Schizosaccharomyces pombe: one gene and its partner. The protein of the gene in region 1 interacts with the protein of each later gene in a biochemical or structural test. Each region holds a gene or a part of one and is shown on either strand. Other genes may lie near its edges. The genes, in order: nse2 and smc5.

Region 1 (4,051 bases):
TAACCCTGAGAGCTTCTCAGAACGTCTAGGGAAGGAAACTGTAAAAGATCTTTATGAATTTAACGAACAACTCACTACCAAATATGGACTGGAGTTTCGCACTATATTTTTCTCCTATATACGAAAATATGATGCTTATTGGTGTTTATTTGAAGACTTGGAAAAACCTTTAAAATCTATTCAATTTTTTACAGGCTTGATTGATCTCCTAGATAATACCAACAAACACCTTACTTTGAGATCTATAGTACTAGACGCACTTTTATCTGCTGATGAAGAAGACTCTTTTTATGGAGATGCCTTGGTTCTATTTGAGGAATTGGTGATTAGATACTTTGGTACCGATTCAAATCCTTCTATTGACGCAAGTGAATTTATTTTGTCATGTCTTCCTTATACATCTTTAGATGCCTTAAACGTAGTTTGTGGGCAAGTATGGAAAAGCCAAAAGATTTGTGACTTTCTAAAATCTACGATTGGTAATACTTCTAATTCTCCTCTACAGCTACGGGCCTCGTTTCCAGCGTTTGTCAATGCAGTCATACATTTTTTACTAGAATTTAAAAACGTCCGTCGCTTAGAAAGAAAGGACCTTAGCGTGAAAGGGATGCTGTACGACTCTGATAGCCAACAGATCTTAAACAGGCTTCGTGAGCGAGTTTCTGGTTCGACCGCACAGTCAGCAGACGAAGCCAGTGGTCATGAGAGTGACGCGTCCGAGGATACTTTTTCTGAAAGAACCCTAGGTTTGAACTCAATAGATAATACGGAAATATCAGAAGTGGTATCCTTAGGTTTAGTTTCATCTGCTCTTGATAAAATCACTGGCTTATTGAGTGCTGATAATTTATCAGAAACGGTTTCTCAAGCCAGAGATTTCTCCCATACCCTATCAAAGTCTCTAAAAAGCAGAGCTAAGTCCCTTTCTCAAAAGGAAGCTGCAAACCGCAGTAAGCTGATTGCGAAGAGGGGTGATAATCTGAGAAGAGAAGCTTCTTTGAGTAGTGAACAGGATGATTTAAGTGAAGATTTTCCGCCTGTACGTGAATCAGACGAGCAAGAATCTCGATCTGGTGGTAGAAGTTCGGCAATGAGAGTGTCCATTGAAAGATCTGCTGCTCGTTCGGGTACACGCAGGTCGCAAGGAAACCCATATGAAGGATATCGAACTCGTAGAAAATGGACAGATGAAGAGGAGAATGAGCTTTACGAAATGATTTCTCAGCATGGCTGTTGTTGGTCTAAAATCATTCACATACAGAAACTTGAAAATGGTCCGTTAAAAACTTTTGGACCAACACAGATAAAAGACAAGGCCAGACTTATCAAAGCAAGGTTTATGAAGCAGAATCGTCTTCAAGAATTATATTCAAAGTCATTAAATTGGAAAAATGTTACTGTGGGCCAGGCCTATTGTGAACTTCATAAAATACCTTACATAGAGGCAACTCCGCCACTTTTACGGGAAGAGCTTGTTAATTATCAATCTTAATTTTTCGTCTCCGGATAGAGTTTGTTCATGATTGCTTTTTTAATGAATAATATTGACAAGACTCGGATAGTTTTGTTAATCGTGTTTTACTTTACTACTAATCTATGGAATATTTTGAAAATAACATAATTTAATTTATACATTTCACGGCCTTAATCATCCTTTATTGGTTTATCATATTGAATAGTTGGTTTAGTAATAGAGGTACTAAAAGTCAAGCGTTAATTGTCCGAAGTATGCATTATAAATTCTAATTCCAAATGAGAATATTTCATAACCCATTCATTTGTATTAAACGTGACAGTAAATAAGAATTTATTTAGTCTTTATACATATGCCATCAATCTTCATAAAAACGTACTGGAGTTTAAATTTTAAAACGTGGTTATTACCCTTGCTTAAAAAACATTCTTTTTTTATTTAAGGAAATAAGTGTTGTGGCATTTAGTTTTCATATGCAATTAATAGGTTTTCAATCCCAAATTGCGTTGTCTACTAATTAAACGTCGTAACTACTTCTTTCTCGAATGGAATCGTAAATGAGTGAAGCACAATTAAAAACTTCCTTGGAGGCTTTAAGTCAAAATTTATTACCTGGAAACCAAAATCATTGCAGTTTCGACTTCCAATTGAAGGAAATTGACGATTCAATTAAACAGGTGATAAAATGTGCTCTAGTTGCTGCTGAGATAAAAAATAATGAGGTATGTGTACCATTATTACGAAAGATAATGGAAAAAATTAATATGAATTGCTTTTAAAACTCGAAAGTGGTGTTATGTCGAGATACAGTTTTTTAAAAAGAAGTTCGCTGTACAAATATACATACAAAAACATTGTTTAACTAATATTTTTCTTCCTCTTATTTCCGGCTATTGAGAGAGAGCCTAAAATAGACATAATATGACATGCTGCTTACTTTATGACTTCTGACTAACACTTGCCTTTTAGTGTTTGGACATGCTTGATAGCGGGATCCGAGAGCTGTTGGATGCAAAGCAGAGATTGTTATTGATGCAGCAATCGGTGGATACATTGGCTAACAAAACCAGTGAAAATATAAGTGATTTTGAAGTACGTACCACGGAAATGACTTTCCTACTTTTTCTATTATATGTAGATGAAGTAAAAACATCAATTTAGACGTATTTTTTTACTGTTTCATATTCAATTGTTCTAACAAAATTAGAATAAAAGTTTGTTGGATATTTATACACAAATTTTTAAGGAACTCATTCAAGAATACGAAGAAAAATCCGACTATGGTAAATATGGCACACAAGGAGAATACATTGAATTTAAAAAAACCATATGGCATGAGCAAAATACAGACGGTTCTGACTTTCCTTCTATGAAAACATTTTTTAATGTCATGAACACTGAAGAACAGGAAGCAGATGAAGTGATGGTATATTCAGCTACCTTTGATAACAGATGCCCTTTAACTTTACAACCAATTGTTCACCCAATATTATCGACAGCCTGTAATCATTTTTATGAAAAAGATGCTATTTTGTCTCTGTTAAATCCAACTTGTGTATGCCCTGTTGTAGGATGTGAAGCTCGTTTACAAAGGTCTTTACTTAAGGAAGATGAGATTCTTGAACGCAGATTACGCCGCGCTCAGGAAATAAGTAATTTAAAAGAAGCTTAGTCCTTTTCTATTTACATTGTAGTACTGATCCGGATTTATTATTATTATTATTATTATTATATTTAATGTATTTGTTTATTCCAACTTGTAAATATGCATAACATGTCTCTTTTGACTAATATTCTATGCTCGTACGGAAGCTTCAATTTTGGCATTTAATTATGAAGATAGTTAAATCTAATATAAGATCTACTTGATTGTAACCTTATGATAAACTTTGGCTCATGCTTGACTTTGACACTAGCCATTAACATACCATGTCCTCAGAAAATATGGATATTACTGAAAACATACAAAATGAGCAAAATAAAGATTTTGATGATATAGATTTTGAAAGAAGGCGTCGTCTTTTGACCTTACAAATTTCAAAAAGTATGAATGAAGTTGTGAATCTTATGTCAGCTCTAAATAAAAATCTTGAAAGCATTAACGGTGTTGGAAAGGAATTTGAAAATGTCGCGTCTCTTTGGAAGGAGTTTCAAAATTCAGTGTTACAGAAGAAAGATCGTGAAATGCTAGATGCACCTTGATGGTCGTTCTTTTCTAAATGTATTTTCATTGCCGCTAAACATATGCCTTAACGCAGTTTGTTTCAAAGAATTTGCATATTAAATTAAATTATTAGTTATTATATGTTTTTTATGAATCTATAAATTTAATAGCGTCCTCAAAAATTGGTCAAAGGTCAGGATTCTTTTAAATTAACTTACATATTACAATACACAAACCTTAAGTCACTTCATTAATAATGTGTTTGTATATATATATTAGTTTTTAATCTTCCTATATTCTTCTAAAAGCTGCCAATTTTTAAATAAGCCGTTCATCGTCTGAGAGGCAGAACAACTGTTGATGTTAATATTTGCATAGTAAACTTTTTCTTTACTACTATACGAATCCTTTTA
Region 2 (6,248 bases), 2.1 Mb from region 1:
TCGATGATTTTACACGCGTATTGTCCCCCAGTGTTATTATCCATTGCCATGTAAATGCGCGAGAAGCCACCAATTCCCAATAGTCTTTGAGTGATGTTAAATCTCTCACCCGCATACTCGTGATGAAAATCATTATCAGTAGTGTATTTCTGCTGGAAAAGAAAGGAAGCGCAGTGCCGAACATCGAGTATATCTCCATCCGATAAAAGGACGCTATTGCCTTTACCAATTAAACGATGATTTAAGAATGTTCCATTAGAGCTCTGATCTTCACAATAAACAAGGGGATCCATATCATCATCGATTAGCACCGAATACACTCTAAAGTGCTTATAACTGGCAGTGAATTGCAGAAGCTGATAATTGCATGTATTACTCCTTCCAACAGAAACGTCTTCATATTTCTTAACATTCAGTACTAATATATGTCAAAAATCAATTGAAACAAGAGAACACACCTGTTTGTGGAGAAGATGATGAAAAAACAAACAATCGAGCGAGAACATCATCTTCAGTATATTGAGGATCCATAGTACTTTCGTCTATTTGACTCAATTCACAAAGAATTTGCGTTGATTCAGATCGACTAAGCATGGCATGTGATAAAAAGTCCATAGTTCTTGCTTTTTTTTATATACACTTTGCAAAACGGTGATGCGCGTAAGCAATAAATATATATATACTTTGTAAGACGCGCCTATCAAAACGTAAAAGCAGTGTCTATAACGGTATAAAGACAATACCCATTATTATTACGTTATACCACTATAAACCAAAGTCATTTGGTAATGCCAAAACATACACTTGCCAATATTTTGAAGGATTGGGCTTGACACTATTAAGTATATTAATAAAATATGAACCTCATTGCTTATCAAATATAGTAAATTATGAGAATCCATATTAGTACAAACAGAAGAAACTTTGGATTTCAATCTCGAAGAGAGTTGCTGGCATTTAAATGATTTTTAGTCAAATGCAAGCAGAAGAAAATTTCTCGCTGTATTCACTTTAATGATCCGAGGACAAAAACGAGTCCCAATTGTAAGTTGCTCTTCATAACGAAGAAATTTGAGTATGAATAACCATTACGGTTAGAAAAAAACAAGGAAGGAAACTTATTATTTGATTAAGAAATCAACAGCTTACAACATTGCAGATTCTCATGCAACCCCATTTTCATAACGCTTTTAGGAAAGCTTGAAAACACTTTCGAATCCAGCATGATCTAATAAAATGTTAACAGGCAATTAATCGGAAGATTCATTAGGTCAGTGTTTCCGGGGTAATAGTTTAGAAATATTTAAGGCCGGACTACTTCCAAAGGGTTGTTTTGGATAATTGATTAAAAGTGATCTAACCAACTTTTTAAAAACAATACCCATATTCGTTTCTTGGACATTTTAGCCGAAAAGTGCTTTTTAAAAACCTTCATAAGCTTATATCTTGTGCCTGTTTTTACTCTTCCAAGTAGGATGTATTTTTTTCTCTGTAAAAGTGATTGAAAAATTATCCGGTAAATATTCAGTTCCAAATATTCATAGTAAACCACACGAAAAGCACCAACAGTAGAGTTAAAGCTTAATTTATAGTTCGGTTTGACGTATTTTCAATTTCAAACAAGCACGTTATCAACTTTCATCTTGAAACATGCCGCTTTTACCTTCTTGGTTATTTTCTAGGTCTGCCAAAATCGCCCAAACACTAGCTTTGTAAAGAGTATATACAAGTCCAACCTCCTTTTCTAAATCCCTTAGCGAGTCCAGAATATTGTTGCTGGGATTATAAACCATGTCCTGTAACACCTTAACAAGCTAAATATTAACCAACTGCTGAATAAAAAAGACTTACTGTTTCTAAATTTGATGCAAGATTAGCATATTCAGCTAAAATTTGATTCTGGAGAGCTCTTTTTTCCTCTAAACTCATTGTACCTTGCCTTGCATAAGCACTTTGCTCTCAGCAAACTCCTAGTTGACTGAAATCCTCCTTACTTCCACCATGGATGGCCTTAGGCCTTCGAAACGAAGAAAAAGTAATCCTTTGTATTCAGAGTAAGTTATAGCTTTTTTCTATTTAGTATTTCTGCTTTTTATACTTCGATGATCTTAACACGCGAGAGTTACGCGTTAGGAAGTATTGTACGAATTAAATTAGTGAACTTTGTTACATACGATTATTGTGAACTGTTCCCTGGTCCATATCTAAATTTGATTATCGGTCCAAATGGGACAGGTAAGAGCACAATTGTTTCAGCAATATGCATTGGGCTGGGATGGCCCCCAAAAGTAAGTCTTTCAATATTATAAAAAATAACTTAATTGATTAACGATTTAGCTACTTGGGAGAGCTAAAGAGGCCCGTGAATTTATAAAGTATGGCAAAAACACTGCAACCATAGAAATTGAAATGAAGTATCGTGACGATGAAACGGTTACTATCACGAGACAAATAAGCCAGGATAAGAGTAGTTCTTTCTCTATTAATAGGGAAGCATGTGCCACTTCTTCAATAACGTCTCTAATGGATACTTTCAATGTACAATTGAATAATCTTTGTCATTTTTTACCACAAGACCGTGTTGCAGAATTCGCTCAGCTTGATCCTTATTCTAGACTGATGGAAACTGAGCGTGCAATTGACCATGAAGGGTTACTTCCCGCACATGAGAAGCTTATTGATTTACGAAAACGAGAAAGGGAAATTTTACAAAATAAAAACCAAGGACAATCAACATTAAATTCATTAAAAGATAGACAACAGGCACTAGAGAAGGAAGTCAATATATTTAAAGAACGGGAAAAAATCAAATCATACATCGAAATGCTAGGGTTAGCTAAAATGTTAGTTATATACAGAGAGAAAACCAATGTCTTTAACCAACTTCGTGCAGACAAAAAAAAATTAAAAAAGGATTTGAAAGACCTAGTGGAAGAATTTCAACCTATTTTGGATAAAGGTGAAGAGCTGCGTTCGGATTTAAAACTAAAAGATGATACATTTAACGATTACTCCTCCGCTTCGATGGAACTTAATACCTCAAATTTAAGAGCCAGAGCTTCTTTTTCGAATTTCATGGAGAACGAGAAAAAGCTTTATGAGAAGGTTAATACCAATCGAACACTTTTACGGAATGCAAATCTTACATTAAATGAAGCACAACAATCGGTGAAGTCATTAACAGAAAGACAAGGCCCAAGACCTTCGGATAACGGTGTTCAAGATCTACAAGAAAAGATGCAAGAAGTTAATGCGGAAAAACTTCAACATGAAAACGAGAAACTTGAGAGCTCTCATGAACTAGGTAGTATCAGAACATTGAAAGCACAAAAGCTTATTGACCTTGATAACATTAAAAGAGAGTTGTCCTACTACAACGATGCTACGAAAAGGAAACTAGACTTTATGTCTTCTGCTCCAGGCTGGGAAGATGCTTATCAGACGTATCAGTTATTGAAGGAATACGAATCTGCGTTTGAAGCACCCGCATACGGCCCAATTTATATGAATTTGAAATGTAAGGAAAAAGGGTTTGCAGCTTTGATAGAAGGGTTTTTTCGCACGGATACGTTTCGAACATTTATAATGTCAAATTATAATGATTATCTAAAGTTAATGGATCTTATCACTTCAAAAACTAAGTACACTCCTACTATAAGAGAATTCTCCAGTGAACGAAAAAAGAAGATAGAAGATTTTGAACCTCCATGCTCTCGTGAGAAGCTTCAGTCTTTCGGGTTTGACGGATATGTGATCGATTTTTTAGAGGGGCCAGAAGTGGTTTTGGTTGCTTTGTGCCATATGTTAAAAATTCATCAAATTCCGATTGCAAAAAGGGAACTACCTCCCGCATCAGTGAATGCGTTAAACAATTTTCGTCTGGCTAACGGGGATCCAGTTCTTAAAACTTACTTGGCGGGCTCATCTATCCACTTGGTTTTTCGTTCAGCTTACGGTGATAGAGAAATTACTAGGCGAACAGACCCATTACCTTCTCGCAGTATATATTTTTCCGAGAACGTTGAGATGGATTTGGTAAAGCGAAAGGAGGAGCAACTAAATGCTCAACTCTCTCAATTGGAAAATTTACAGAATGAGGAAAGAAAGTTACAAGAAAAGGTAAATGAGCACGAATCGCTGCTTTCTCGTACAAACGATATATTATCTACTCTACGAAAAGAGCGTGACGAAAAATTAATTCCTATTCACGAATGGCAACAATTACAAGAAAGAATAGAACACCAAACTCTTCTACTAAGACAAAGAGAGAAAGTTCCTGAGCAATTTGCAGCTGAAATTGAAAAAAATGAAGATATCAGGAAAGAGAACTTCGAAGCTCTTATGAATTCGGTGTTAAAAGTTAAGGAGAATTCAATTAAAGCTACGAATAATTTCGAGAAGATGTTGGGAAGTAGACTTAATGTCATAGAAGCGAAATACAAACTTGAAAAACACGAGATGGATGCCAACCAAGTCAACGCTCGATTGACAGAAGTACAAGATCGTCTTAAAGATATTACCGATAAGTTAGCCTCAGCAAGGGAGGATGCTATGTCCTTGTACGGTTCAGTGGTTGATTCATTGCAGACACAATCATCTGACAGACAAACGGCAATAACTGAATTAAATGAAGAATTTGCTACTAGTTCGGAAGTGGATAACAAAATTAGCATCGAAGAAACGAAACTGAAGTTTATGAATGTTAATAGTTACGTTATGGAACAATATGATGCGCGTAAAAAAGAAATTGAGGAACTAGAATCGAAAATGTCAGACTTTGATCAATCCGTTGAAGAGCTCCAAGACGAGATGAACTCAATCAAAGAGGATTGGGTTAGTAAGTTAGAGGAGAATGTTCAATGTATTAGCGATAGATTTTCTAAAGGAATGAGTGGAATGGGATATGCTGGAGAAGTTCGACTAGGGAAATCCGACGATTATGATAAATGGTATATCGATATTTTAGTACAATTTCGAGAGGAAGAAGGACTTCAAAAACTTACGGGTCAACGACAATCTGGTGGAGAACGTTCTGTATCTACTATAATGTATTTATTATCTTTACAAGGTTTGGCAATTGCTCCGTTTCGAATAGTTGATGAAATAAATCAAGGAATGGATCCTCGAAATGAACGAGTTGTGCATAGGCATATCGTCAATTCAGTGTGTGACAACGCTGTTTCACAATACTTCTTAGTCACTCCAAAGTTATTACCAGATTTGACATACCATCGAAATTTGAAAGTGCTATGTATTTGTAATGGTGCTTGGTTACCAGCAACTTTTAGAACATCCCTTTCTACCTATTTTGAAAAGTTAAAGAAGTCCGCACTCATTTCTTCGTCATAAATGCTACATTACCATATTTGTCTTGTTGGCATACTTTTTCTTAATTTTTGATATTTGTTTTGTCCGATGGTGTTTTGTTTACTAAAGAATTTATTTTATGAGTTTTAAAATTTTGCATACGAAGTTACCCGTTAGTCATTTCGTTCCTTAGAGTCACCGAAAATTTGACCGTTAGATTTAATAAATTAATAATATCATTATCTTTAATTATTGCTTTCAGCATCCTGACATTTAAAATGTTATATCTTTATTGCTTAACTTATTCAAAAGATACATGTGCCCTTAACGTAGTTTTGTGTAATACAATTATCGCGCAACACCGTAGATGTGGCGCTATCGGGAATCCATATTAACGTAAACAACAAAGAATTGGGATCATTCTTGTGCTTACCCATTTCTGTTCATTAGACATTGATTTTAGAGAAGCTTTATTAATGTCTTCTGAAAGCAAAGGAATACCAATTCCCCGCTCTGATTCTAACAAAACCAGCGACGTTAGTTCGTGGGAAGAAGATTACGAATTGATCAGCTTAGGCTCCAGTCAAGACGCTTTGCAAAGATCAGGCATTCGAAGTGCTCATGGAGATTCAGGATACGCGTCTTCTCCACTGCGAATGGAACATTTGAGTTCATCCACTATAATTATCAATAATCAACTAAAGAAGATAGACGTGAACGAAAGTATTCCTGAGAACTCAACGTTGCATAACAAGTATGAACTTGGTGCTGTAGAGAGCTCAACAAGTTCTCTTAGTTTGCTCCAGAGTAAAGAAGAAGATGATAGCAGTAATTGGGAAACTGAGGATTCAGAATCTGCCGTCGAAGAGGCAGAGCTTCCCACTATATTCGAGGGAAAAACAGTGATATCTCCTAGTAGCTCTGGTACGGATCACAGTGAA

Evidence for each region.
Region 2: the proteins of nse2 (region 1) and smc5 form a complex in vitro, tested with the Schizosaccharomyces pombe proteins (2 studies listed by BioGRID).

What each region holds. Positions count from the first base shown.
Region 1 is NC_003424.3:3,088,678-3,092,728, reverse strand, and holds nse2 (Smc5-6 complex non-SMC SUMO ligase subunit Nse2), read left to right. Parts: upstream 1-2,000; 5' UTR 2,001-2,031; coding exon 2,032-2,196; exon of another isoform or gene 2,197-2,443; coding exon 2,444-2,566; exon of another isoform or gene 2,567-2,681; coding exon 2,682-3,146; 3' UTR 3,147-3,235; downstream 3,236-4,051. Other genes in the region: taz1 (telomere length regulator), read left to right, coding at 1-1,492; DASH complex subunit Dad1, read left to right, coding at 3,404-3,676.
Region 2 is NC_003424.3:5,225,507-5,231,754, reverse strand, and holds smc5 (Smc5-6 complex SMC P-loop ATPase subunit Smc5), read left to right. Parts: upstream 1-1,961; 5' UTR 1,962-2,001; coding exon 2,002-2,054; intron 2,055-2,122; coding exon 2,123-2,288; intron 2,289-2,337; coding exon 2,338-5,349; 3' UTR 5,350-5,576; downstream 5,577-6,248. Other genes in the region: mek1 (meiosis-specific serine/threonine protein kinase), read right to left, coding at 1-418, 459-615; DASH complex subunit Dad3, read right to left, coding at 1,632-1,814, 1,852-1,929; mitophagy receptor Atg43, read left to right, coding at 5,784-6,248. UniProt on the Schizosaccharomyces pombe protein: Acts in a DNA repair pathway for removal of UV-induced DNA damage that is distinct from classical nucleotide excision repair and in repair of ionizing radiation damage.